7 linked regions of the Canis lupus familiaris genome follow. The protein of the gene in region 5 interacts with the protein of the main gene of each other region in a pairwise test. Links are inferred from orthologs where the notes say so. Each region holds a gene or a part of one and is shown on either strand. Other genes may lie near its edges.

Region 1 (4,056 bases), on a different chromosome or scaffold from region 5:
AGGAATAACCAGGACAAAAGCCCTAAGTTAGTATGTTTAAGGAAAAATAAAGCCTGTATGGATGAAGAGAGTAAGGGGAAAGTAGTAGAGGAGGTCAGATTGGCAACAGGGGCAGATCATGGAGGTCTTTTAAGTCATCCAATTATTGTGAGTGGACTGTAAGGGTGACTGTATGCTAATTAGGAAGCTACTAAAAATAATCCAGGTGAGAGATTATGGTGGTTCAAATAGGACTGTGTTCCAAGGTGATGAGATGTGGTCTGACTCTGATTTATTTATTTATTTATTTATTTATTTATTTATTTATTTATTTATTTATTCATTCATTCATTCATTCATTCATTCATGAGAGAGAGAGAGAGAGAGAGAGAGAGAGAGAGAGACACAGGCAGAGAGAGAAGCAGGCTCCATGCAGGGAGCCTGACGTGGGACTCGATCCCGGGTCTCCAGGATCAGGCCCTGGGCTGAAAGCGGTGCTAAATCACTGAGCCACCCGGGCTGCCCGACTCTGATCTATTTTGAAGATACGAGTCAACAAGATTTCCTAACATATCAAATGTGGAATAAGAAAGAAATCCAAGGCTTGCCTTGATCAAATGGAAGGATAGCATCCTATTAACTGAGCTGATAGTGGGAGGAGCAGGTTTGGCGAGAAGATCAGGATTTCTGTTTTGGACACATTAAATTTGAGATCTCTTGGGACGCCTGGGTGGCTCAGCGGTTGAGCGTTTGCCTTCAGCTCAGGGAGGGATCCCAGAGTTCTGGGATCAAGTCCGGCATCGGGCTCCCTGTGAGGAGCCGGCTTCTCCCTCTGCCTATGTCTCTGCCTTCTCTCTGTGTCTTTTATGAAAAAATAAATAAAATCTTAAAAAAAATAAATTTAAGACGTCTATTAGATTTCAAATTGGGGATGTCAAAAAGGCAGCTAAAATAGAAGAATCTGATTTTCATGGAAGAGATCAGGGCAAGAATACAAGGGTGGGAACAGTTACCAAATAGATGGTACTTAAACCGTGAAATGGATGACAGCACCAGAGAAGAGATATGAAAAGAAGAGGTCCAAGAACCAAACTTGTGGCATATCAATGATAAAAGGCTGGGGACAAAAGAGCCAGCAAAAGATGCTGAGAGGTGAAGAAGTACTAAAACAGGAATGGGATGGCTCAGAAGCCAAGTAAAGATACCGAACCCAGGAGGCCAGTGTTTAATTGTGTCAAACACTGCTCTCAGGACAAATGAAAGATGTGACCTGAGAAATGTATTAAGTGACCCGGAGGTCAACACTTACACCCTAAAAAATTAAAAAAAAAAAAGACCATCTTTTTATTAGTCTCTCTCCCTCTTTATAGCACCTAAACAATATCGTTCATTCTGCTTAGAGCTCTCTCTCCACTAGTTTTCAGCACCAAAGTCATGTAACCTAGGAACCCTGACCCCCAAAACTAATGCTCTTGTTTTAAGATGAAACTATACTTAAAAAAAAAAAAAAAGATTTTCATTTATTTATTTACAAGAAACACACAGAGAGAGGCAGAGGCATAGGCAGAGGGAGAAGCAGGCTCCCCGCTGGGATCCCGACGCGGGACTCCATCCCAGGACCCCGCGATCCTGCCCAGAGCCCAAGGCAGATGCTCAACCACTGAGACACCCAGGTGTCCCAAAACTATACTTTCATCATGAAATGTATTATTCGAATCGTCAATTTAATTGTCTCTCAGGTTAGACTGTAAGATCTTGAAGTCAGGGTCATGGCTATCTTGCTTCCTTTTTTACTCAAAACCATCTAAACTCCTACCTAGCACAGTGCAAAGTACGGACTAGACAACCTACAAGAATGTACAGAACAGATGGATAAACGTTAGGAGTGCTCAATAGTGTGACCAATTAACTTCTTGTTGGTCTAACTTAGAGACTGCCTAGACGCAAGCATCTAAAGCAACAAGTGGGCATAGAGAGCTCTGACCACCCTGAATCTATTCCAGGGCTGGGTCTCCCATTTCATCACCTTTGCAAGGGTGTGATGCGGACTCCTTATTCAATTTCACTTTTTTTATTCCAAAGGATTCCCCTGGCAGAACCTTTTGGCCGTCTATCTACTTCCCCCTCCCTCCAAAACTAACCACCCTCTTCCTGGCACCCCCCTCCCCCACTTACCCAGACGCGTGGTGCGCTCGCGCGGGGCTGCGGCCTTGTTCCCAGTCCCATGCTCGGTCTCGAGTTCCTCCTGTTGCTGCCGCGCTTGCTGCAAAATCCGTCGGGTCAGCCGGGGCCCCACATACTCTTCGTCCTCCTCTCTGGTCCCACGACCCCGCCGCTTCTCCCGGGGCCCTGCCCGCGCCGCGTCCCCAGCCAGGATTTGCTCAGCCAGCGGCGCATGTTTTTCCTGGCCTGCAGCTCCGCGAGCCGGCTTGAATTTGGGCATTTTTTTCCAGAACTCTGCCAGAAAGGTTTACACGTGGGGTACAGACGAGGAAAAAAAAAAAAAAAAGCCTTGAGCGCACTTGCGCCGTGAAGTCCCAGCTCCCAAGAGGCCCCCGCGGAGCTCACAGCGCCTCCCGGCGTCCGGAGGCCGGGAAGGCCATCAGCGCCGCCACACCCCGTAAGAGCGGGGCCTGGAGCCAGCCGGTCCCCGAATGAACTCACTGCTTCTAACGCTGGCTTCTGCAAGTGGTGGCAGTCCGAGCGGTGGTTTTCTACTTTCATAGATCGAGGACCTCTGTTCCCAGCCAAACGTGGACTTGCCTAGCTGCAAAGCCGGGGCCAGAGTTGGGTAGTGACGTCACTGGAGGCGTCACCGAGGAGATGCCTAGACCTGCCCCTGTTCCTCGTGGGCGCGTCGACTGGACGCTCTCCTTTTGCGTCATTTCCGGAGCACCTCCCTCGGCCGAAGCTTTCGTTAGGGGTCTTCACTTAGTGTGGGCGGCCAGAGACTACTGTGATCCGATTGTTTGTTCCTGCCATCCTCCTGGCCCGATACCATGGGAGTGACTTGGTAGGCCCGCAGGGGACTTTTTTGGGCGGCGCTCGGGGTCGGGAAGGGCCCCGGAGCCCGGAGTGTACCGGGAGGAGGGCCGGGACCAGGGACCGCGGTCCCCCATGAGCTGATGAAGATAAGATATCTTCGGAACGTGTGGGTGATGGAGACGCTGCGAGGGCTGCAGATTCTCCGCGCTTGTTTGCTCGGAGACACTTCCCTTCGTCCTGAAAGGCGGCAGGTGAAAGGTTTTGTCCCAGGAGCCCATCAGTGGTTGTGTTCCTCCTTCCCAGGAGGCCATAGGGCTGCCCGAGGTGGAAATTAAGGATGCCCGAACTAGGACCCAATCTACAGGCGTAGCTAGAGGAGGTAAAGGATAGGCAACGAGGAAACCGTCTTTTTTTAAAGATTTTCTCCTGCCCCTCCCTACAGCCACTTAATGCAGTTAGACCGGCCCGTGTCTGGTTCTGGTGCGGCCGTCTTAAGATTTTCGGTCTAGAGGGAAAAAAAAAAAAAAAATAAGCAGCAGCAGCTGTTGGGAGGTAGATTGGGGTTTAGGCACGTCACCTCTTCAGAATTCGTTTCCTACTATGTTTAATTGTATGGTTGGTGTAACTAATTACTATGGACTTTTAATCTCTCAACATGATATAAGTGGGGTGGCAGAGAAAGGTATGGGCCTAATGCTCTTGGAGAAAATGCTAGATTTTAGGGATTGTTTTGTTTTGAGTACCGGTAAGTATTAGCACGTTTCTAGTTAGGGCTGGAGCCTGTGGGAACCACTCTTTTTTTAAAAAAAAATTTTAATTTATTTATGATAGTCACACACACACACAGAGAGAGAGAGAGAGAGAGAGGCAGAGAGAGGCAGAGAGACATAGGCAGAGGGAGAAGCAGGCTCCATGCGGGGAGCCCGACGTGGGATTCGATCCTGGGTCTCCAGGATTGCACCCTGGGCCAAAGGCAGGCGCTAAACTGCTGCACCACCCAGGGATCCCTGGAGCTAGTCTTTCTGATAGCTCAGGTTCTTGTAGGCTTGTCGGTTACTGCACCTGTGTTTTCTGCAATGGATATTTTAAGCC
Region 2 (3,930 bases), on a different chromosome or scaffold from region 5:
ACTACATTAACTGAATACCGAGGCAGGATCTACAATGGATGCTAGGGATATAAAAGGGAATACAATCCTTCCCCTAAAGTAACTCCACACATGGTGTGAGACAAACACGAACAGGTTATAAAATATACGCTAATAGAATTATGCACAATATGAAAAGACTATTAAGCCTAACTCATTGCGGGAGGGCATCCTACCACCATCAGAGAAATGCCCTCAAAAAAGGCAAGTCAAACTTTTCTTCTGCCTAATTGCAAATGAATACAGAAATACTAGGGAAGGCAGCTGAAAGCAAACTCATCAACGTTAAACTATTTAAAAGATATGCTACTGGGGCACCTGGGTGGCTCAGTTGGTTAAGTGTCTGCTTTCAGCTCCCAGGGTGCTGGGATCAAACCTCACATCGGGTTCCCTGTTTAGCAGGGAGTCTGCTTCTCCCTCTCCCTGTGCTCCTCTCTCCCGCTCCTGCTCTCTCTCTCTCAAATAAATAAATCTAATCTTTATTTAAAAAAAAAAACCATTTTATTTATTCATTCATAGAGACACACACACACACACACACACACACAGAGACAGAGATACAGGCAGAGGGAGAAGCAGGCTCCATGCAGGGAGCCCGACGTGGAACTCGATCCCGGGTCTCCGGGATCACGCCCCAGGCTGGAGGTGGCACTAAATCCGCTGAGCCACCAGGGCTGCCCTAAATCTAATCTTTAAATGAATGAATGATATGCTACCTTGGCGGCATTGATGTTTCCAGATTGAACCTTTCTTCCAGATTCACGCTTTGTGTTCTGGCCTAAAACAGATAAAGTAAAATGTGATAGACCAGGATTCACCCACTGTGTAGCAACTATTTACTCCCTGACCTTTGGAAATAACACACGCACACATGCACACACAGGTTTTACAGATATACAAAGAACAAACCTCAATGAATCCTATGCTCTAGATACATGTAGGTTATTACATATCAAAATACCTTTGAAAACTTAAAAACAACAACAACACTAAAACATGTATTTATGGCTACATTTTTATGTCAACCCCTGGCATACAAACAATCCCTAACGCTTCAACTATGAAACCCTGGTCATCTCTTTCCCACTAACCAAATATTCACGAATTAACAGCAAAGATTCATACTGAGGTCCATAAATGGGCTAGTGGAATGGTAAACTCCTAGAGATTATATGAGAAAATGGGAAGGTACTGCATTCTTGACTGGGAAGAGGATCTATATCCTATTCTCAAAGAGCTGGTAACCTAAAAAAAAGCATCAGTCATTGCTTTCTGTAAAAAAAGGAAGGAGTTTGGGGGTTCTTATTTTCCTATTTGGGCAGGAGGAATTATACTAACCATCCCAGCACAATTACTGATAGCGCCCCCACAGTGTGCTGTGGAATTAGACTGTCCTCTCAGAGTGGCTCAGTTTGCAAGATAATCACTGCATGCTAGGATATAAGTAAGGATGCCTCAGTAACCGCTCTACCATCAGATTTTAACAGGGAGCCTACTCAGTCATAGTCACTAGTGCCAGAAAATAATGAAGACCCAAAAAAGGCTTCACACACAACCACCACTCACCCCTGGGGCCCTCCCAATGGAGACAAGCCAGTGGCTACAACCAAACCGCCGATTTCCCTCCTTCCAAATTACACATTCCCTACAATTTAAATCAGTAAAATTTTCAACCAGTCCCATCAAATCTACACGCTCACAACCCTCAGAATTTAGATTCATGTTTCGAGTAGCAGTAACTAAAATCCTGCACAGACTATTCTGATGGGCTCCTCAGAAAAAACAAAAGACAAAAACAAAAACAAAAACAAAAAACGGGCTTTTTCCCGGTTCAGTAAAAAAAAAAAAAAAAAAAAAAGTTTTTTTCCCGTGAAAACAGTGATTCCCAGGTACAGGGAAAAGGCATAAAACCGCTTTATTGCATTTTGTATACATAAAACGGTAAGGGAGGAACAAGAGTTTGCAGACGAGGTACAGAAGTTACACGAGGAACGGGAATATCCCAGGAGAAGACAATGGAGCGAATCCTCCTTAGAGAGAAATTCAGGAAAACTCAGTAGGTAGGATCACAGCGCGGAGGACACCGCGGGGCCAATTACATCGAAGCCGGACCCCGCGAAAGGAGACCCCGGGAGGGCGTTACTGAGAAATTACCAGGGCATCGCTCGCTGTGCGCGGACGCCCCCCCCCCCCCCCGCCCTCGTCGGCAGCGTCCCTACTTCAGTCACTTAAGCCCCCGATCCGACAAGAAAATACTGTCGAGACCCCCGATAAAAACGGAACGCTCGAGCCAGGCGATGTGGCGGGGTCAAGGGCCGGAGCTGGGAGGCCAGGCCTGACCACATCCCGTTCTCCGCGCCCGCACCGAGAACCACGCGAGCAGGGGTGCAGTGGCGGCGGAGGGAGCCCGGGTGCCCGCAGACCAGCGGCCCGGCCCGGCCCAGGCCCTAAGGGAACCGGCTCGGGGCAGAAAGAGGAGAAGGAAAGGGGATTCCGAAACCAACGACGACGGGAAGGCTGCGCGGCAGGACCAGGGCGGGACCGGGCTGGGGCAACACGCCAAAGCGCGGAGGTAAAGGGCGAAAAGAGGCCCCTCCTGCCCCGCCTTCCCCCAACTCACTGAGCACGAGCACCGGACGATGGCCCATCATGGCGGCGCGATGCAGAACCGGGTACCCAGAGCTGGGGCAACCGGCAGAACCTTCTGGAGAGAGAGAACCAGCGAGAAGCCCAGAAAACGCTGCCTCCTCAGGGCTTACACCTAAACCCGCTACCCTCCGGGTCGCTGCCAATCACTGCAGCCAGCTCATTGAGCGGCAAGAAAACCGGCCAATAGGCTTTCTTAGTCCCGCCCTCTACGCAAGAACGGCAGAGCAAGCTAGATAGAGAGCGCACGATGATGGCGAGGGGAGGGCCCGGGCGCTTGCGCAGTAGGGTGGCCGCTCCCGGCCGCGTGCGGCGCGCAGGTCGGCGCAAGCGCGGAGGCTGGGGCAGTTGGCCGCGACGCCACCGCGCATGTGTATCAACCACAAGGGTGGGACCCGGATCGGAGGCTCTCGAGTAACAGCGCTGGTGAAGTTACTGAGCTGGCCCGCGCCTCGGGTCCTTTGGGGGCGATGGTCTCTGTCCAGTCTTAGCTGCGGGAGGGACCGCGGCGCGGCCACTTCGGGAACTTGGTCCCCGGGGCGGTTGAGTGGCAGAGCCCTTCCCGGGGCGCCCCAGCGCGCCCCTCGCCCTCCTCTCGCAGGTGCTTCCCGCAGACGCTGGGGGCGAGCCCGGGGGTTCCTCGCGCAGCCGGGCCGTCTTTCCACGCCGGTACCCCGCGCCCTCCTGCGCTTTCTCTCGGCCCATGACAGGTGATGGGGAGCCAGGCTGCTGCAGTGACCTCAGAGGACAGGAGAAGGGCTGGTGCTGCAGAAGGGAAACATTGAGGGAAGCCCCGTTACTGGGAGACTCTGAAGGTTTGGGCTTAGTTAAGTGACGACTTGCCCAGAAGAGAGGATATAACAGTCAGGGACACCGCTGTTTTCCAAACCAGCGAAGGGACCATGGGAGCACTTGGCCATGAAGCAGAACAGTGCCTTCTTTCATACATCTTCCTCCCTAAATTGGAGCAGCGTCAGATGTGCTGGGGAGAAGTTAAACTGTCAGCGGTAAAATGGTAGCATGAGTTGATCATGTAACGCTGTGATTCTTCCCTAGGCACCACACCTTCTTGGTGTCCAGATGGAGCAGCATGCTAGCCACCCGAACGAAAAAGGTGTGTGTCTGAGGCCCCTTGCCCCCTGCCTTGAAAGCCAGACCTTCTTAATTGCTCAGAATTTGGGAAGGTGATTCTAATTATGCATATACCCCCTTTTTAAAAGATTTTATTTATTCATTCATGAGAGACACACACAGAGAGGGGAAGAG
Region 3 (3,126 bases), on a different chromosome or scaffold from region 5:
CTAACTCCCAATGTGGTTCCTACCACCTGTTGAGGCCACTGAGCTGGCCTGTCTTTTGTTCCCTGCCTCTAGATGTAGATAATGGCTACTACACCGTCAAGTTTGACTCACTGCTGCTGAAGGAGGCCGTGGTAGAGGGGGACAGCATCCTGCCCCCGCTGCGCACAGACCCCACGGGATCCTCAGACTCAGACAGTGGCGACCCAGATGACCCCAGCTATGCCAGAGGTATGGCGGCAGTTCAGGATCCCAGAAGCCAGGAAAGTGGGGCAAGGGGAAGTGTCGGTAGCAGTCACCCCGAGAGGCTTCCGGCTGGCAGGGCCTGTGACCCTCTCACCACATCCTTGGAGAGTATGGGGGCAGTGAGGCAGACTGTGTTCAGAAGGGGCACGTGTGACTGAGGACACGTGGAAGCCCGCCACAGGCATTGGGGGCAAATGAGAGCGAGCGTGTGGAGTCTGGGGCGGGCCCTGAGGCCTGCAGATGGAATGACCCGGCCCTAGTCTTCAGGGAGCACACGGGATGATCGCAGCTCCACACCCCGCAGGCCGAAGCCGTGTCCACTGAAGCAGGGCTGGCCGGTCGGCGTGCGAGGGACCGGCGGGGCATGGGGGCAGGAAGGAGCGGCTCCTTCCAGTGGTCTCCACGTGGGGACACCTAGTAGCTAGAGGGGAGGCTGTGTCGAGAGAGCCGGGGCAGGAGCTGTTCAGGAAGGGTAACTGGGGGGGATCCCTGGGTGGCCCAGTGGTTTGGCACCTGCCTTTGGCCCAGGGCGCGATCCTGGAGACCCGGGATCGAGTCCCACGTCGGGCTCCCGGTGCATGGAGCCTGCTTCTCCCTCTGCCTGTGTCTCTGCCTCTCTCTGTCTCTCTCTCTCTGTGACTATCATAAATAAATAAAAATTAAAAAAAAAAAAAAAAAAAAGAAGGGTAACTGGCTGAGGGCGTCCAGCCCTCCCAAGGGGTCAGGTAGGATGGAGAGGGGAGGCGTTCCTGTGGAATCTGTCCGGTGAGGTGGTAGTTCCTGAACCCCCATGTCCACGGTGGTGGAGGGGAGGACTGAGCCGCGAAGTCGTGGACTTTCTACGGGGGGAAGAGGGGAGCTCACCGCCTGAGAAGGTGGGTCAGGGGAGGGCTCGGGTGGGGAGGTTGGCCCTGCGGTGGGGGGGCTGGAGCAGACTGCGCCAGACTCTGCCGTGAGTCCTGCCTTAGTCACGTGCCGGTGACAGGTCTGGGCAATCACCGGAGAGCCTGAGGCTCAGGGCACCACGACCCTGGCCCGGAGCTGAGCTCTCGGGCTGACACTGGCTGGAGCCCAGGGTGCTCCCCGTCCAGCGGGGCCGAGCCACTGCCCTGTTTCCTACAGTGGTGGAACCCAGTGCTGCCGAGCCCGGGACCTGCAGCTCCGCTTTCGCTGGCTGGGAGGTGCACACACGGGGCATCGGCTCCAGACTCCTTGCCAAGATGGGCTACGAGTTTGGCAAGGGTGAGTGTGTGCCGCCCTGGGGAGGGGAGGGGGCCGCACAGCGGGGCTCGGGTCCAGCAGCGGTAGCGCCAGCCCCGTGTGCCCCCAGGTCTGGGCCGGCATGCCGAGGGCCGGGTGGAGCCCATCCACGCTGTGGTGCTGCCTCGAGGGAAGTCGCTGGACCAGTGCGCAGAGATCTTGCAGAAGAGGACCAAGGGCGGCAAGGCTGGCGCCCGGAGGCCCCCGAAAGGCCAGGGCAGTGGGGGTGGACGCCCTCCCCCTCGTAGCGTGTTTGACTTTCTGAACGAAAAGCTGCAGTGCCGGACCCCGGCGGCGCTGGAGGCTGCGGCGGCCCCCGCAGGGAGGAGGAGCGGGAAGGAGATGTACCATGCCAGCAGGAGTGCCAAGCGGGCCCTGGGCCTGCGACTCTTCCAGACGGAGAAGAAGATCGAGCAGACCCAGCGGGACATCCGGGGCATCCAGAAGGCTCTCGCCCGAAACACCGGCCGGTACGTGTGGGGCGAGACTTGGGGCAGGGGGCGGCCCCCTGGGTGTCGATGCCTCAGCCCTGCCGTGGGCCTCCTGCCCACTTTCCATGCTGTGCCTTCTCGCCTGCACGTGAGCTGGAGCGCGCGCTGACCCCAGGGTGGTGGCTGTCCGAGGAGGGTCTGGTGCTTGGAGGAGGAGGGCCGTGGCCACGGGTGTGGGGGCCTCGTGCCAGTGGCCCAGCAGCTCGTGCTGAACGGCAGGCTCCTCCTCAGGCACAGTGTGACGGCGGCCCAGCTGCAGGAGAGGCTGGCGGGAGCCCAGCGGGAGCTGGGGCAGCTCCAGGCCCAGGAGGCGGGTCTGCAGCGGGAACAGAGGAAAGCAGACACCCACAAGAAGATGACCGAGTTCTAGAGCCCTGTGTGCCGTGGACGGGGCTCAGGGACCCCAGCTCCCGGGTGCCCTCGGGGAGACCAGCTGTCACCCGACTAGATGCTCCTGGAAGAGGGGCTGGCCTGCTCCCAGGCTACACCCCACGGCCAGCGGACACTGCTGAGAGGACATGGGGCTGCAGGGCTCCCTTCTGGACACTTCCTTGCCACTGAGCCCACCCGCCAGTGTTTCGGGGGGTCTCCTCAGCGAGGACATTAAAGTGATTGTGTTGTGGTGTCTTTCATTGGAGGCTCGGCTGGCTTGTGGGACCTCGGGGGAGAGGGGTCCCTGCGCAGGCCCGTGGGCGCCGGCGGGAGGGCCCTGCGAGAGCCCGCTGGCCCCTGTCCGGAGGCAGGCGTCCTCTGCTGTCTTGATGGGGCTCCGCCAGCAGCTCCGAGCTGGGTCGCAGCTTGGGGGCCGCCCATGTTGCCCAGCACCCGCAAATGTGTGGGACTGAAGGGGTCGTGGTCGGTGAAGAGCCCTTGGGAAGCCCTGCTGCTGAGGCCGGAGGAAGCCCCAGGTTCTGGAGGCCTCGAGGCTGCCCCGGCCCGTGACCCACGCCGGCCCAGCTCATGGTGGGTGGAGACGCCCGGAGGTAGGCTCGGAGCAGCGCTGGCCCGCCGCACACCCCAACCAGGCAGCGTCTGCACCCCGCGCGGGCTGCAGCCAGTGGGTGAGGCTGTGATGGCGACGGCTGAGTGGCTGAGGGAGATGCAGGAGATAGATGCACAGCAGGAAGTGAGG
Region 4 (3,500 bases), on a different chromosome or scaffold from region 5:
GTGTTTAGAAAAATATGTGTACATCACTTCACTGGTATTAGTTTTCTGTTACTTACATCTATTGAAATTGGAGATTAAAACTGGTAAGTATAATTGCTCTTTTTCTTTTCTTTTTTGGTCAACATTTGTGAATCAGAGCTTCAGGTCAGACTTTTTTTCTTGAGTGACCTTGTTTGCAACAGAAAGTTGAATCAATCACATTTTATTTATTTATTTGTTTATTATTTTATTATTTTATTTATTTATTCATGAGAGACAGAAAGAGAGAGAGAGAAAGAGAGGCAGAGACGCAGGCAGAGGAGAAGCAGGCTCCATGCAGGAAGCCCAATGTGGGACTCTATCCCAGATCACGCCCTGGGCTGAAGGCGATGCTAAACCCCTGAGCCACCAGGGCTACCTAGAATCAATCACATTTTAAATGTAAATTATTTTTACTTAGAAAAAGCCAGTTCTTAGGTTATTAAGTATTGAATATTGTGACTGCATTGTCATATTGTTCAATTTTTTTCTTCATTATAGTACAAACAAAATCCCGAAATGTTCAAACAGACAGCTCGACTTTGGGCACATGTGTATGCTGGTGCACCAGTTTCTAGTCCAGAATACACCAAAAAAATAGAAAACCTATGTGCTATGGGCTTTGATAGGGTAAGTACCAAAAAGCTTGCTTTTCTGATGTAGTTATTGATTTAAAATTATTGCTGCAAATCCTTGGCTGACAAAAGTCGTTCAGAGATGCTATAAATCAGGTTTTATAAACTTCTGTTATTATAATCAGTGATTTTTTTCCCCTTTGGCTAATTCCAGTCATTGGTTTAGAAGCTTGTTACGCACTACAGATACAAGGTGTGATTTTTCAATATGAAGACAGTGCATGATTCAGTATTTTAAAAATATGTTTTGAGATTTGATTTTTTTTGTCCCCTTTCTTCCCTACAGAATGCGGTAATAGTGGCCTTGTCTTCAAAATCATGGGATGTAGAGACTGCAACAGAATTGCTTCTGAGTAACTGAGGCATAGAGAAAGAGCTGCTGATATAGTCAAGCTTGCCCCTTCTTGAGGAGCATCAACATCTGTTATTTTTAGGATTCTGCATAGATTTCTTTTAAACTGGCATTCTTGCCTAATGATGTTATCTAGGCACCATTGGAGACTGAAAAAAAAAAAATCCCTGCTCTGTAAATAAAGCTAATTAAACGTCTGTGTAAATTTAAAAAGGGGAAATACTTTAATTTTTTTTTTCTTAATAGTGTAAAAATTCTTTGAGCTAAGCTAAAACCATGGAAAAAACATGCTACTTTAGTGTTTAGCAGTGTACCAAGACTAGCAAGAGTTTGCTTCAGGATTTCGTTGAATAATTAAGATAATATTTTGAGTGTGTCAGGGCCATTCAAATTGTTGGTGTTGCATCACAGCTACCTTAACTGTTTTTAACATGGATCCTCTGTGCCTGTGAATTTACTTGCATGCTTGTACTTGACTTCTTAGGATGGGTAGCTGAAAAGACCACCATTTTAAGCATTTGAGAATTCTTAAATATGAGATTTATCCAGAATTGAAGATGGTGACCTATTCAGAGCCTTTTTGTCCTTGTCAACAGACTAGGACACCATATCTATTTTTCCCCTTCTTACCACACACAGCTAATATTCTAATAGTAAATTTCTCTATATTTGGTGGGGAAATATGCCGAGGGACAGTATCCCTTGCTCCATTTTTAGGTCATCCATTTGGAATGTTTTGTTATAGCTCTTCACTCTTAAAACTTTCCAATGTGAGTAATAATGTAAAAATGGAGCTGCCAATTTTGTTCCTCTTGCAAAAATAGTAAATACTTGTTGCAATATTCCCAAGATTTAATGAAAGAACCTAACTTAGTTTTTCAGTGAATTTGACATCTTTCTATTTTTAAACTGATGAAATTTTCTTTGAGAACTTGAAATGATGCAATCAACTATTGGCAGTTTTTTAGCCTAATTTTGACTTTACAGAGATTACTTTATCAGGTACTTTAAAAGTCACTCTTGATTGCATTTGCCCCTATTGACACATGAAAGCTGTGTGGTGTTCTACTGTACATACTTCAGATACACATAGGAATAGAAGTGTGTTATAAATCTAGCTTTCTTTATGATGTTTCTGATAATATGAGAATTGAAAACTTTACCTTTTCTTGTACATAGTCAGACTTTCTATTCGTATTAAAGTTACATTTCATTCTAAGTTCAAAAGTTTGAAAATTATTAGTTTTGCAAGCTCAAACACTAATGTGACCATTTTATGAAGACTGAAATGGATTTATGCAGGCAGTTCTATACATAGAAACAGTTCTTATTAAATTTTCAGGACCAATGCAGAATAACAAAAATGTAATGGAATGAGAATGAATTAAAGTAAGGCTGTATATTGAAAGTCATATTTATAAAAGGTTTGCTTTCTTCAAGTGTTATTTATCCTAAATTATAATCATTAAGTGTTTGGAAAATAGTTTTGAACCATAAATTCAGCATAATTTCATTTGACTTCTCCATAATCTTAGAAGCAATAAAAGAACCATTATTAAATATATTGTAATATTAAAGATGTGAAGGTTCTTCCAAAAACTTGTAAGGCTTTCCTAATTAATAGTAAACTCTTGTAGTTGATATTATTGCATACTAAACACAAGTTGCTATGTTTTTTTCCCCTATATATTTGCTTAAGCATAAATTTCTTTATACAATCACCTCCTTTAATTGTTATAGTTTAGTTACTTTCTAAAGATGCCAAAGGAAACAAGATTTTTCTTTATTTATTTTAAATAGCTAAAACCTTGTACTTTTCTTTATATTTTGAAGTAAGGTTGGGATTGTGTGAAAATGTGGGCAGCTTTGTTCCACTATTGGTTAGTTTGTTTTGTTTTGTTTTGTTTTAGTGGAGGGTTGGTTTGGTAATATTTGGATTATTTTAAATATCAAACACATCTACCCAGTTAACTATTTGCCTATATTATCAGGGTATATTTAATTGTCCTGTGGTTAGACAAAAGAGAATGAACTCAGAGGTTACTAAGGTCAAGCATTACATACTTAGCTCTTGGAGGCAGCTATACCTTTATACCTTGCCTTTGATTTTTATGCACATTAGCCCATAGGTAATCTCATCCAACTATACTTCAACATCCTCAGTGCCCAGGAAATTGAAAAGAATAATATTTGGTATGAGAGGTTCTCCATGATGCATTTTCATTTCAAAAATTTACTTACCTCCTTTACATTAAATGTGATAATCCCTCTCTCTTTTCTGGTGCATTTCTCACCGTCTTTCAGTTTCTTGTTTTTCACTCTTCTACAGATAAATGTATTTCCCCAAACATAAAAATTAAGGCAATTTTTCCCCCTCTGGTCTTAACGTGTTTGGGAAAAGGACACTAAAAGTGCAGGTCTAGAGAAAAGATACCCTGGTGGAAATTATTTTTTATATTTCTGACTTTTTTGTGATTCATCAGTTGTAAAGGCCT
Region 5 (4,226 bases):
CACGTATGCCTTTAATTTTTTTTTTTTTTTTTTTTTTTTTTTTATTTGTGATAGTCACAGAGAGAGAGAGAGAGGCAGAGACACAGGCAGAGGGAGAAGCAGGCTCCATGCACCGGGAGCCCGACGTGGGATTCGATCCCGCGTCTCCAGGATCGCGCCCTGGGCCAAAGGCAGGCGCCAAACCGCTGCGCCACCCAGGGACCCCAGCCTTTAATTTTAATATGCCTATTGGAGACACGAAGGGCCCGAAGCAAGCACAGTCTGCAAGGGGAAGACCCGCGGCGTCCCGAGGTCTGCACTTTGAGGAGGGAGGCAGGAGGTACGGAACAAGTACCCAGAAGAAAAAGGCCACGACTGAGAGCAAAGCGAAGTCTGACGGACGCGGGCGCGTTCCTAGTGCGGTAGCCAGCGACGCACCCAGGCCTCCTCCCGGGGGCAGGCCTTGGGGCAGCCTCGCTCGCGCTCCAGGCTCGAGGCCCGGGGGGCGGGGCACCGGCGGGCGCGGGGGCGGGGGCGACCCGACCCCGGCCCCCGGCGCCCGCCCGCCCGCCCGCTCCCGGCCTCCCGCTCCGCGTACGACCGCAGCGTGCAGTTCCGCGGAGAAACTGCAGTGGGGAGGCCCCTCTGAGGAAAGTTCCGGGACCCGCGGCGGGGCGGCCTTACCAGCGGAACCACCGGCCAGGATCTGGCGAGAAGCCTCTCTCGCGAAGCCAGCATTGGGCTGGGCGGACATCTTCGAAAGCCCGGGGCGGCGGAGCGGAGCGGGCGAGCTCGCCGGCCTGCAAGAGCTGCTGCTGGTCCTGGCGCCGGCGGCTCCTGGGGAGGCGGCAGCCCGGCGGCCGCCCGGAGGTGGCGGCTCAGGGCGCAGGCTCACAGTGCGTGATCTCCGGCGGGTGCGAACCTGCCCGCGGCTCCCCTTCAGGGCTTTCTGTCGCCGCCGCTAGGCCCCCTGGGCGCCAAGAAGGGCCTCGGCGGAGAAAGGCCTCGCGGACGGGGTCGGTCTGGCCGCCCGCGGTGGTAGGGTTTGGTCTCCCAGCTTGGCGCCCAAGCGCTTCCCTATCGGGAGCCTCCTGCAGTTCGTCAGGCCCACGCGCCGCCGCTGATAACGCTCTGAAGAGGCGCCCCTGGCCTCGCGGCGGCGCCGGGGCGACCCTTGCCCTCCTTGGCAGGCCAGCGCTCCGGGAGGCCCTAAAGAACGGACAGGTGGATCCTGAAATTGTGGGTTCTAGAAGCCAGGCCAAGTTACAATTATCTTTCAATTAAGTTAATGTAGTACTTTGCGAAGAAATGGTTTGGGCCTGAGAGAATGTATCATACCTCATCGACTTGAGTTTTATTTACTGAGAAAAACGAAAGAAGAGGCCTTGTTACAAAAAAGTCTCTTCAGTACCCGAGGTCAGTAGTGCTTCTCCACGTATGATCTTAAGATCCAGCAACGTCAACGTAATGTGAGAGTTCCTAAGAAGGCAGATTCGTGGCCCCACGCCTATCCACTGAATCAGAATCTCTGGATACAGGGCTCAGAAACCTGCATTTTAGTAAGGTCTCCAGTGATTGTTAAGAGCGTTAAAGTTTGTGAACCACAGACCTAAGTAATCAAGCAATATAGGGAACTATCAGTATATTTTTTCTATGAAACATTTAATTATTCATACTAGCCCTTTCGGATATTTGGAACAACATAAATATTTATACTATTTTTAAACCATAAGTTACAAATGCTACGTAGAAGAGACACAATATTATGAAATTTTAGAAGAATACCTGCCACACCCCTAACAGGTAGGAGACGATACCAGTAAAAGGTAGAATGAGAGGATTTGGAACCGCTATTGTCATACTATTTCTTAAACATTGTATTTAATACTAAATCTATTCAGTTTGAACCATAGAGAATTGCCAATTTTGAAAGCCAGAAACAGTTGAATATCAGGAATGTAATATGGTTAAGACTTTATGTGCTTTCCAATTGAATGTGCAAAATACCGTAATTTCATATTTTGTTTTTATTTCTGAGGCTGAGCTGGGAAAACCTGGTAATAATGATATCTGACTGGTAAAATTGTCGAAAGTAAGGAATTAGATACACTTGGTGCTTATGGATCAGATATGCAAGATAAATTTTCTCTCATATTTGATTAAATATTTGATTAAAATGACTAAGCTTAAAATGTTTACCAAGGAACAGTTTTCAGAAATTTTTGCTGGTTAGCTAAAGTAAAAGCTTTTGAGGAATGTTTCAGTCTACTAATTAAATATGAAGTCTTGAGTGCAACATAGAATCACATATTCAACAAATATTGAGAACCTATTCTATACCAAGCACTAAAATCACAATTGCAGAGCTCATAGAAAACCTTTCCCTCATTTTCCGATGAGGAAACTGAGTTTCCCAGGATCACACCATGAGCTAATAATATTGCTGGGATTTGATTCCAGGATTCTCTCTTCTAAATGCATTGGGATTGTAGATTTAAATACTAGCCACAGGCCAAACTACATTCTCTCACAGCAAAACCTAAAATAATTAAATAATTAAATAGCCTCCAAATTAATTTCACTTATTCATATATATAAATGGAGAATTTTTTAAAGTTAAAAATAAAAAGTTGCAACTTTTAAACCCGAAGGCACGCACTGAACCAAATTCTGCATTCATTCATTGAAAGTTGACTAAGCATCAGCACTTTCCTATGTGCTGGCAATGTAACACTTAAAATCCCTGATGGAGCATATAAGCTCATGGAGGAAATCCCACCATATTGCAATTTGTGTTAATTTAGTATTAAGTAAAATTTTGTCTTCCCTAGATTATTTCAGGAAATACAATAACACTTTTAGGTCAAGATTTAAAGATAGCCTTCCTCCCTCTCCCATTGGATCAGTATAAAGATACTTTTAATCAATTCCACAAGTACCTTAATCTCTGAATATCTTATCCCAAGGAGGTGGGTGCAGGTTTGTGGTCTCACAAAGACCTCAGTCTCTCAGCACCTAGGTAGATTCAGTGAGAAGACCCTTCCAGACAGAGTTCCAAATACCCTGTTAGAAAATTGCTACCTATTTTTAATCTTTTTAGGCTAGAACTGATGTTATTGAGTAAGAAAAAAAAACAAAAACAAGGCCTGTTACCACATGTAATCTAGTCCTACACCTGTAGAATAGTTGAAGAGATAGGGTCTAGATATAACTATATTCTAGAGCTTGGGAGTCTGCTAATGTCCATCCATGGTCAACAAATACCCACTGCTGAGAGCTCTGATTATTAGCTATATCTCTTAATCTGCAGCCGAATTTGCCTGTGGCCAGTATTGGAATGCTGGGAGGTTTAGCACTGAGAAAAAAAAGAAGGTAAAATTTATTTGGCCTACTATTTCAGATACCCTAGATTTAATCTATCACATTCTCTTTCTATTATTATTTTATATGATGCTGTAATGTCCTGATGCTAGAGCAAAACTGCTACAGTATCAAGCTTATATTTTGATTTTATTTTTTAAAGATAGATAGATAGATTGATTGATTTATGAAAAAGAGAGCCCATAGATGGGGGGCAGCGAGGAGGGTGGTGAGGGTGGAGAGGGAGAAGGAGTCTTAAGCAGACTCCTCTCTGAGCACACAGACTGATGCAGGGCTGGATCTCATGAGCCTCAGATGATGACCTGAGCTGAAACCAAAGTCGGATGTTTAACCAACTGTACCACCCAGGCACCCCATGCTTATATTTTTAAGTTATAGATTATTTAGCCGATCTTGGTTGGGAATTACATAATTAAAGTATTGACTCATCTATCAGTTTGCAGAATGGCTAGAAACTAAACTGCCTGGAGCCTTAAAATCCTCACTGGACTTAAATATCTGAAAATTTGTTCAGTGTCTTTTTGAAATAAAGCTTTTGTATTGGGCCATTGGATAAGCTAATGTTCAAGACTACAATAATAGTGGCTTGAACAAGATAAAATTTATTTTCCCTCTTATATGAGCTCAGTTTATTTTAAAATGACAATATTTACTCATTTTGAAAAAAAATTCTCAAATTTAAAATATACTTCATTAGCGTCTAACTAGAAGTTGCAGAGTAACTCTGTGGCACACATACTATGACTGCACCCACATTTTAAAATACCGTTCGCTGAAAAATACATAGCCACTCTAGGCCCATAGACTTCTATTTCAGGGTCAAAACACAGACACACAAATGCAGAACTTGGTATACATGGAATCTT
Region 6 (3,500 bases), on a different chromosome or scaffold from region 5:
GGCCTGATTCTCAGGACTCCACTGAAAGGACTCTTGCCAAGGTCACCAAATCAAAGATACTTCAATGTTTGTTACAAATGCATGAAGCAGCATATGGAACACATCCTCCTCAAAATGTTCTTTTCCTTCTGGTACTTTCCATTTCTTTAATACTCACTTCCTCTTCTAGCCCTGACCTGGCTCATATCTATCTTTTCAGATCCAAACAGCTCTTCCACAAGTCTGTGAGTTGGCTCTAAATTCCAATCACACCTTACATAAGTTTATGGGCAATAAATGGGTAAATTTATTCACTAACCATAGCTATAACGCCATCTTCACAAAGATCTGTATTTCCAGCCCAACTTTTCTTTCTTGAGCTCAAAACTGACATATCAGTAACTGGCAGGACTCCTGCACATGTTTAAAACTAAACATCTACTCTCGCAAAAAATAAATGAATAAATAACAAACAAACAAACAAAAAAAAAACCATCTACTCTCGTGCCCGCCCCCCTACTTTGGTGCACCTGACACTCCAGCCATGCTGAAGCCTTTGTAGATCTTTGGTCATACCCGGCTTATTCACCCTGATGCCTCTGCAAGTGCAGTTTCCTCTCTAAAACCTTTTCCTGCATTCTGACCACCCCTCCTTACAACAAAAATTTTAGTACAAAAATCACTTTAAACACCCCCAGATCATCCACTGCATCCTCTGATCAGCACTTATCAATCTGTACTGTTTGCCCAATAGGCTGGATTTCCTTAACAGCAAGAACCACAACTTTTATTTCTATATCCTCAGCTTCTTAGCAGTACTTGGTACAAAGTAGACGCTTAATGCATGTTTTTTTGAATGAACTTACGTGGCGAAAAAACATTTTCCTAAGAATTTACTCTATCAATATACAACCAACCAAGTATATGGGAGTTGGTTGAGACAAGCAAAGATGTGACAAGTTGGGTAGCAGTCGGTAAGTCCTGAGTGGAGACAATTCAGGGTAGGCACTCTCCATGGCTGGAAGAAGGGAAGTCCACCACTGTACATGGACACCCAGTTTATTCAGCCTCCCCGGAGGGACCCTCTAAGGCCCTATCACTTCCAACTCCCCCTGTAGCATCAACTACTAATTCTGGATGTGCTGAGACATTTCTGCTTTAAATGTGCATGTTTTTTTTTACATACAGCCTCAGAGATGCTCCATCCTGAGCCAAGTGTCCACCCTATTAGCCAGGCAAGACTCTCTTCCCTGGCAGACAAGATGTCCCAAATGCACCCGGGTCCTGTTAGGAGGACATCTCACCCCACTGAGAGAATGCCCAATTCCCAGCTTCTAGCCTCTAGTCATGTGAACCACATACCACAGGTCTTCAGGGTTTGAATTAAAACAAGAAGGAATTACCAATCCGAAAGTGGTCATCGATGTTGCCGACAAACACAGCTTCATAATCCTCAGGCCTCTTCAGGTTGGGTGGTCTCTCCTCAGGATCTGAGCCATACTCTCCCTTAAACCTCTTTTTGTTGCTCACAATTATTTTCTTCTTGCTGTCACCCTCGAGGAGGCTGATGAAGAGCTGCACCACCCGCAGAGCAGCTTCTCGGAAGGGCACAACTATCAGCACCTATGGAGAAAGCCACAACAGCCTCGGTGGGACCAGGGGAAGGGTCCGCAGCTGCGGTCAGCCTGCTGAAGACATGGTGCTAAAGAACCCTCCATAAAGCAGCAGGCCCTGCAAGGGCTCACATCTCAGCCACCTCCTTTGCACAGAACCAGGTTCAGGACTACAAACTAAGCACCTCTCATATCCACAGCACTGTCCTATGGACTTTAATCTAATAGCCCCATGAGAAGCAATTCCCAACCAGAATGTGGAAGTATCTTTCAGGATTAAGTCAATGCCTTTAACAGGAGTCCACTAGCAAAAATCCAATATAAACATACAAGTGTCAAGGAATGTTACTCATTTCTGTCTCGCACAGACCTTACTACAGTATTTTTATGCATAAGCTGCAAGGGATAAATGCTAAATAAATGAATGCATTAGGAAAAAAAATTTAAAAAAACAAAAAATAAAATAAATGAACTAGGTATGATAAGTAGAGAACAAATAAAGCTGGTAAGGAAAAGGATTAACGCATCTAATATATTTCCTAGCATGTTTTTCAGAAATGATGATAAAGCATTTCTGAAATGAGATCATATCTCAATGGGAAACGTAGGACTCAGTTTTCCAAACATTTCCAAAAATGCTTACAGTTACAACTGGAGAGAATAAAAATAGAATATGCTTAACAAACAATAAGTTTCTCATTACCCTTCTGTAAATATCAACAATGTAAACAACCCGTCAGAGCCCACAACTCATCAAATTCTAAATGTGCTTCATGGGTAATCTGACTCATTGTTTTCTACAACTCTAAATGGAAACAGATAAACTTATAATCCTTATTTTTAAGACTCTGAGATAGTTTCCCAGAAAGGGAGCAAGCACAGCCACAGGGGCATAGTGAGTGCAGCACCAAGGGCCCTAGATTGAAGAGGGCCAAGTTACTGCTGTCCCAGCTGTGACACTAAGTATCCAGGCTTCAGCTTCCCCAGTTATCATATAGGGGGCCAGACTAAAAAATGTCTAAGAGCCACATCAGTACTAAGCCCTAGAATCCTATTAGACTCAGTGAAACATCTAAAAAGATGAGACTTCCTCCATATGGAGGGATACAGGTTAAGGAGGTATGGGGAATGGAAGACACATGATGTAGCCACACAACATGAGTAATGTGGGCACAATTAAAAGACATTTCCTACCAAAGCCCCACATCCACTGGAACTTAGGCTTATGAGCCCAAATAAAGGTAATCATCACTTTAAGCAGCGGTAAGTATACAATGGAAAAACCGGAATTTCTGTTTCCCAAGATTTACTTATGTGTGTGGCTCAGTAATGAAAATTCTTGGTTCTAATCCCATCTCTGCTACTCATTTCCCGGTTCTCTTCAGCAAGGTCCTCTATGAATCTGGGTCTCTATCCATAGCTGCAGTATTTAGAGATTGGATAAAAGGCTGGCTAAGGTTCCAACCATTTCTGACAATCACAAAGAGATTTACAATGGAGTGTCATTTATGTATGCTCAGGATTATCTCAAGAATTATCAGAGGAACCTCTGACTCACAAGTTTCCAGTTAAATCCAGTTAGAAACAGTCCACTGAGCTGTCTACTGCACTGCTCTGGCACCACCTGGCCCATCTAAGGTGTTCACTCTTGGACTCATTCATTATTCCAGTATTCGTTACCATTAAAATACCTGACTATCTGCCAAGTGCCAGACACCTATACGGCACAGCCAGAAGCCTCCTTCTGGAGGACAAAGCTCTCCTGGATGAAGCTCTCCTGCTGCCACTCACCTTGGGCCTTGTTAGCCCTTGGTCTCTGAAGTCATCATCGTCACCCACCCCAAGCTTCTGACTGCGACGTCTGCTATTGTTACTAAGCACCTGGGCATTGGCTTTGAGGACATGATT
Region 7 (4,026 bases), on a different chromosome or scaffold from region 5:
TGGGCAGACCCCTCTGGTGTCCAGGACAGGAGTTTGGTGAAGAGTAGTGGAACAGGAAGTAAGCGATTTGGAATGAAGCCTGTCACCCCCAACATGACAAAAGGAGCCTGAGGTTGGAGACTCTGCCTGTGAGTCCTCAAGAACTCCCAGCCTGAGGTGAAAAGAGGGTGATACTAACAGCAATAACCTGTCCCTGGTTTTTGTTTCCATCAGTGCCCACAGGCTCCATGGTCACTGGAAAGGAAGCTGTGTCTTTCTGAGAATGTCCGGGGTGTGGCTGGCACAAGCAACCCTGCACTGCCAGACACTTCCACTCTGCTTACTTCTCAGGGGGTATGTCAGTCCCTGAGAGCAGCTGCTGTGACTCTACTGCTGGGCCCCAGGCCCTACTGCCTCCTGCCGCTGCTGAGTATATAAGAAGGACTCCACTGAAGCTGCACCTGCTCTGCTGCCAAGTGAACTCCCTGGCCCCTGTGTACTCCACTCCACCGGGGGTGTTCCCAAGCAGTAGTGACACATACCAACGCCTTCTGGAGATTTCCATCAAGCAGCCCCCTGTTCTCCAGGAGGCTGAAATATGCATCCTGCCGTTTCTAGGCCACAGCACAGAGTCCACAGACTCTACTCAACCCATGTTGGATCCAGCTGGCCATGTCTGGAGCCCTCTGCCCTCCTGGTAAGTTTCAACCCCAGGGGCTCCTCATCCCCTACCCAACAGGTTTCTGAAACAGACCCACAAATTTGCCAAGAAGTCCCACGTGTTTCTGAACATTAGTTTAAGCTCAAGATGGAACCTTTCCCAAAATTTGCTTTCTTCCCCTTTTCAACCCAGCACACTAACACTGAACTTTTGTTTTAAAAAAACAGACTGGAATCTCTTTAAAACGGTGTATGCATTCGAAGATGCATGCTCACTGTAGGTCTCACGTTTACCAGTAAGCAAAACCGGATTCACAGCCAAGCCTGTCTCTCCCAAGCCCACCGCAGGTTGTCCCCCTCTTTGGGCCAGGGATAGTAAGCTGATGGGAGTGATACCCCGACCTTAGAGGAAAAAGAGGCGAAACCCTGGCGCAGGCTCAGGGACCTGCTTGTGCTTCCCGGGGAGGCCCGGCTACCAGCTCCGCGGACACCTAGCAGCGAGCTCGCTGCGGAACCCCAGCGCCGGCCACGCCCACTCCCGCGCTAGCCACGCCCACTCCCGCGCTAGCCACGCCCCCGCCCCTGGCCACGCCCCCGGCCCGTCCGCGCCCGCCCACTGCCGCCATTTCCTGTCCGGCCCGGGGCGTGTCAGGTCAGTGTGGCGGCGTGGCCCGGGGTCTGCCCTGCGATGTGGTGCGGATCTGGCCGTCAGCGCCGAGCAGAGGATGCTGTGTGGGACCCGGCGGCAGAAGGGCCCGTGTCGGCCGTGGCGGGGTCCTCCGCTTCCGGCATGGGGGCCGGTGGACGCTGCAGAGCGGTTGCCAGGCAACGGTGCCGTCGGCCCCGCCCCCTTGCGCGGGGCGGGGCGGGGCGGGGCGGCGAGCGGGCGGCCGGGTTCCCCGGGGCGCGTCTCCTGGGCGGCGGAGGGCTGGGCGCGGGCTGCGTGTTCTTACACCCGGGCAAGTGCTGCATCTTCCTTCTGCCCCGACCACCTGGGGCAGGTCAGCTCGCTTCACTAGGCCTCGGTGCTGTATGTTAGAGCCGGAAGGAGCCCTAGCTCGCTTAATGAAGCCACACGTCCCCACCCCCGTTTTGCAGATAAGGGCGCCTCGCCTTTACCGCTCGTTGCACGCCTGGTGCTTTCAGTTAACCCTCTCTCGGTTCCTATTACCGTTTCCATAGACTGAGTTAGGCTGAGAGAGGTTGGTGGCTTGAGCTGAGGTCACACAGCTTGCAACTGATGGAGTCTCCGGGTCGCATAACTCCCACCTTGCTCGCGGCAGAGTTCAGATTTCCAGGTAGCGGGGCCTACGCAACGGCACTACCACTAAACCTAGCCATAAATCCTAAACCTAGCCATAGATCAGAATCAGCCCAAGAGAGTTTAAAATTAGCCATACCTGGGTACCCTGGCAAGTTGACTGTGAAGCTTTGGTGCTAGGAGGAGTCTGTGTATTTAACAAGTTTTTGCCTGGTTTTTATGGTCTGTGGATGAACTTCGGGAACTACTGGGTATACCACGAAGCCTGTTTACTCACAAACCACAGAGAAGTAATACATCTAAAGTACCCAGAAGGAGAAGAGATGCTGGTGCACGGCGGCATCGAGTTCTGATCCCTTCGGCCCATTTTTAGCTTCTCTTCGCTCATCAGAAACAAGCCACAGGCTTATATTTTAAACTAAGTTTGGACAGTGAAATGCAAATACTCCAGTTCCTGATTACTAGTCGCACAGCCAGGTCCAGGCTTCGGGCTGGGTGGGCCTTTCATGACCAGAGTCAAGCGTTAGTGTCCTTCTCTATTCCTGCTAGCCTGTCAGCCTCTGGCCTCCTGCCCTCCTTTACACCAGGTCCCAGAATCACAGCAGTTGATGTTGGCTTTTTCTTTTCTTTTTTTTTTTTTTTAAGATTTTATTTATTTGTTTAAGAGAGAGAGAGAGACAGCGCCAGAGAGCACAAGCAGGGGGAACAGCAGAGGGAGGAGAAGCAGGCTCCTGGCAGAGCAGGGAGTCCGATGTGAGACTCGATGCCAGGACCCTGGGATCATGACCTGAGCCAAAGGCAGACGCTTCACCAACTGAGCCCCCCCAGCCCCCCCAGAATGTTGGCTTTGGAGAAACATTTCGCAGAGCAATTTTCCCACTGGAAGAGAGGGTTGACAGCTTTCCAGAAGCATCACCACAAATAATGAGTATCCCTTGGCCTTAATAGCAATCAGAGTGAAATAGATCACCCTGCTGTTATTCATGACATTTATGAACACAAATCCATCTTAAAAATAATCACTTGGCTCTTGGTTTTAGAAGCCTAATAAGCCTGATAAATTCTGTTTAGTGTTTTATTAGTATTAATTTCATCACTTATGCCGCCTCCCCCAGGTGTTCTGGTTCACAATGGCTGATGAGGAAGATTTGCAGAAATTTCTTAAAAATGTGGATGAAATCAGTAAGTACCAGTAAATCATAAACAAATTAAATTCTACATTGGCGAGGTGGAGTGACTGAAGAGAAATGATCACTCTGAGTTAGTTCCCAGGCTGCCTGATAGGTTTATGACTCTAAGGGAAAATGTAATTGAAATTAAACAGAAGGGGTATTGAGAAGCAAGTAATATTAGAGCCTGGGGTAGTATTTTGTGGCTGTTAATTGGTATTAGAGAAGCCATTAACATTCTGGTTGGAATTGAGACTGACAGCCCTCCTCCATATTTTGTCCCCTTCTGTGTGGAATCCACATCAAAGGAGCCTAGCTGTTCCCTCTGAGATCACTCAGGAACCTTGTAGATCATTCTGGAATCCCTCTTATTTTAGGGCAGAGCCATTTCTGATTTTGAGCTGCAGGGGCAAAATCAATTGGCTTTCCCTCAGAGTCCATCTCATTACATGGATGGCTCATGGCTGTCATACCCCAGTCTCTAGGGAAGAAGTCCTCTCCTTCCCCAGCTCAGACAGGTGGGATCTCAAAGGACCTTCTGTGATCCCACAAATCACATTCAAGAGATTCCCAAGCAACTGGTTTCTACTCAGACTTGAGGGAGCTCGTTTGATGATGGAAACAGGCAAACCAACAATCAAACAAACCTTACATATCCAATGGAAATATGTTGAAATTGCTCCTTCCGGCAGGCTGTTTGAACCCAGAGGACTAAAATGGTTTTAAAAATAGTTTGGGTAACTTGATAACAGACACATCCATAATGCATCCTTTATGATCATCCACAGGCTCTCCTCTGCCCCTCCCTAAATGTTGTTCTGCAGAGTTCTGGCCTTGGCCAGCTTGCTGCTCACATTTGTCTTCGGGTGCTCTAGTTCAGGGACATGGATTTTCCTGCAGCCTGTCTACTCACCACCCCCACATCTCTCTTGAGCCTCAGACTCTGCACCAGCTGTC

What was found.
Region 1: the proteins of MIPOL1 (region 5) and BYSL interact in binary tests that used the Homo sapiens proteins (3 or more experiments, as listed by UniProt). The two-hybrid records come from large-scale screens. The link is inferred for Canis lupus familiaris from reciprocal best matches to the Homo sapiens genes MIPOL1 and BYSL.
Region 2: the proteins of MIPOL1 (region 5) and CCT3 interact in binary tests that used the Homo sapiens proteins (3 or more experiments, as listed by UniProt). The two-hybrid records come from large-scale screens. The link is inferred for Canis lupus familiaris from reciprocal best matches to the Homo sapiens genes MIPOL1 and CCT3.
Region 3: the proteins of MIPOL1 (region 5) and ZGPAT interact in binary tests that used the Homo sapiens proteins (3 or more experiments, as listed by UniProt). The two-hybrid records come from large-scale screens. The link is inferred for Canis lupus familiaris from reciprocal best matches to the Homo sapiens genes MIPOL1 and ZGPAT.
Region 4: the proteins of MIPOL1 (region 5) and UBE2K interact in binary tests that used the Homo sapiens proteins (3 or more experiments, as listed by UniProt). The two-hybrid records come from large-scale screens. The link is inferred for Canis lupus familiaris from reciprocal best matches to the Homo sapiens genes MIPOL1 and UBE2K.
Region 6: the proteins of MIPOL1 (region 5) and digestive organ expansion factor homolog interact in binary tests that used the Homo sapiens proteins (3 or more experiments, as listed by UniProt). The link is inferred for Canis lupus familiaris from reciprocal best matches to the Homo sapiens genes MIPOL1 and UTP25.
Region 7: the proteins of MIPOL1 (region 5) and TTC12 interact in binary tests that used the Homo sapiens proteins (3 or more experiments, as listed by UniProt). The two-hybrid records come from large-scale screens. The link is inferred for Canis lupus familiaris from reciprocal best matches to the Homo sapiens genes MIPOL1 and TTC12.

Annotation. Positions count from the first base shown.
Region 1 is NC_049233.1:10,768,253-10,772,308, reverse strand, and holds the start of BYSL (bystin), read right to left. Parts: upstream 2,801-4,056; 5' UTR 2,644-2,800; exon of another isoform or gene 2,437-2,643; 5' UTR 2,423-2,436; coding exon 2,155-2,422; intron 1-2,154. Other genes in the region: MED20 (mediator of RNA polymerase II transcription subunit 20), read left to right, coding at 2,979-2,992. UniProt on the Homo sapiens protein: Required for processing of 20S pre-rRNA precursor and biogenesis of 40S ribosomal subunits. May be required for trophinin-dependent regulation of cell adhesion during implantation of human embryos.
Region 2 is NC_049228.1:41,548,556-41,552,485, reverse strand, and holds the start of CCT3 (T-complex protein 1 subunit gamma), read right to left. Parts: upstream 2,801-3,930; 5' UTR 2,670-2,800; coding exon 2,639-2,669; intron 2,591-2,638; exon of another isoform or gene 2,530-2,590; intron 797-2,529; coding exon 735-796; intron 1-734. Other genes in the region: TSACC (TSSK6-activating co-chaperone protein), read left to right, coding at 2,915-3,052, 3,721-3,778. UniProt on the Homo sapiens protein: Component of the chaperonin-containing T-complex (TRiC), a molecular chaperone complex that assists the folding of actin, tubulin and other proteins upon ATP hydrolysis.
Region 3 is NC_049245.1:48,113,882-48,117,007, forward strand, and holds the end of ZGPAT (zinc finger CCCH-type with G patch domain-containing protein), read left to right. Parts: intron 1-72; coding exon 73-228; intron 229-1,365; coding exon 1,366-1,485; intron 1,486-1,573; coding exon 1,574-1,973; intron 1,974-2,225; coding exon 2,226-2,364; 3' UTR 2,365-2,626; downstream 2,627-3,126. Other genes in the region: LIME1 (lck-interacting transmembrane adapter 1), read left to right, coding at 2,806-2,977. UniProt on the Homo sapiens protein: Transcription repressor that specifically binds the 5'-GGAG[GA]A[GA]A-3' consensus sequence. Represses transcription by recruiting the chromatin multiprotein complex NuRD to target promoters.
Region 4 is NC_049224.1:73,286,653-73,290,152, reverse strand, and holds part of UBE2K (ubiquitin-conjugating enzyme E2 K), read left to right. Parts: intron 1-519; coding exon 520-648; intron 649-939; coding exon 940-1,014; 3' UTR 1,015-3,500. UniProt on the Homo sapiens protein: Accepts ubiquitin from the E1 complex and catalyzes its covalent attachment to other proteins. In vitro, in the presence or in the absence of BRCA1-BARD1 E3 ubiquitin-protein ligase complex, catalyzes the synthesis of 'Lys-48'-linked polyubiquitin chains.
Region 5 is NC_049229.1:15,875,432-15,879,657, forward strand, and holds the start of MIPOL1 (mirror-image polydactyly gene 1 protein), read left to right. Parts: upstream 1-1,426; 5' UTR 1,427-1,782; intron 1,783-4,226. Other genes in the region: SLC25A21 (mitochondrial 2-oxodicarboxylate carrier), read right to left, coding at 664-733.
Region 6 is NC_049228.1:8,363,641-8,367,140, reverse strand, and holds part of digestive organ expansion factor homolog, read right to left. Parts: coding exon 3,384-3,500; intron 1,603-3,383; coding exon 1,383-1,602; intron 1-1,382. UniProt on the Homo sapiens protein: Component of the ribosomal small subunit processome for the biogenesis of ribosomes, functions in pre-ribosomal RNA (pre-rRNA) processing. Essential for embryonic development in part through the regulation of p53 pathway.
Region 7 is NC_049226.1:19,904,556-19,908,581, reverse strand, and holds the start of TTC12 (tetratricopeptide repeat protein 12), read left to right. Parts: upstream 1-1,226; 5' UTR 1,227-1,291; intron 1,292-1,568; exon of another isoform or gene 1,569-1,640; intron 1,641-1,721; exon of another isoform or gene 1,722-1,937; intron 1,938-3,015; 5' UTR 3,016-3,030; coding exon 3,031-3,082; intron 3,083-4,026. UniProt on the Homo sapiens protein: Cytoplasmic protein that plays a role in the proper assembly of dynein arm complexes in motile cilia in both respiratory cells and sperm flagella.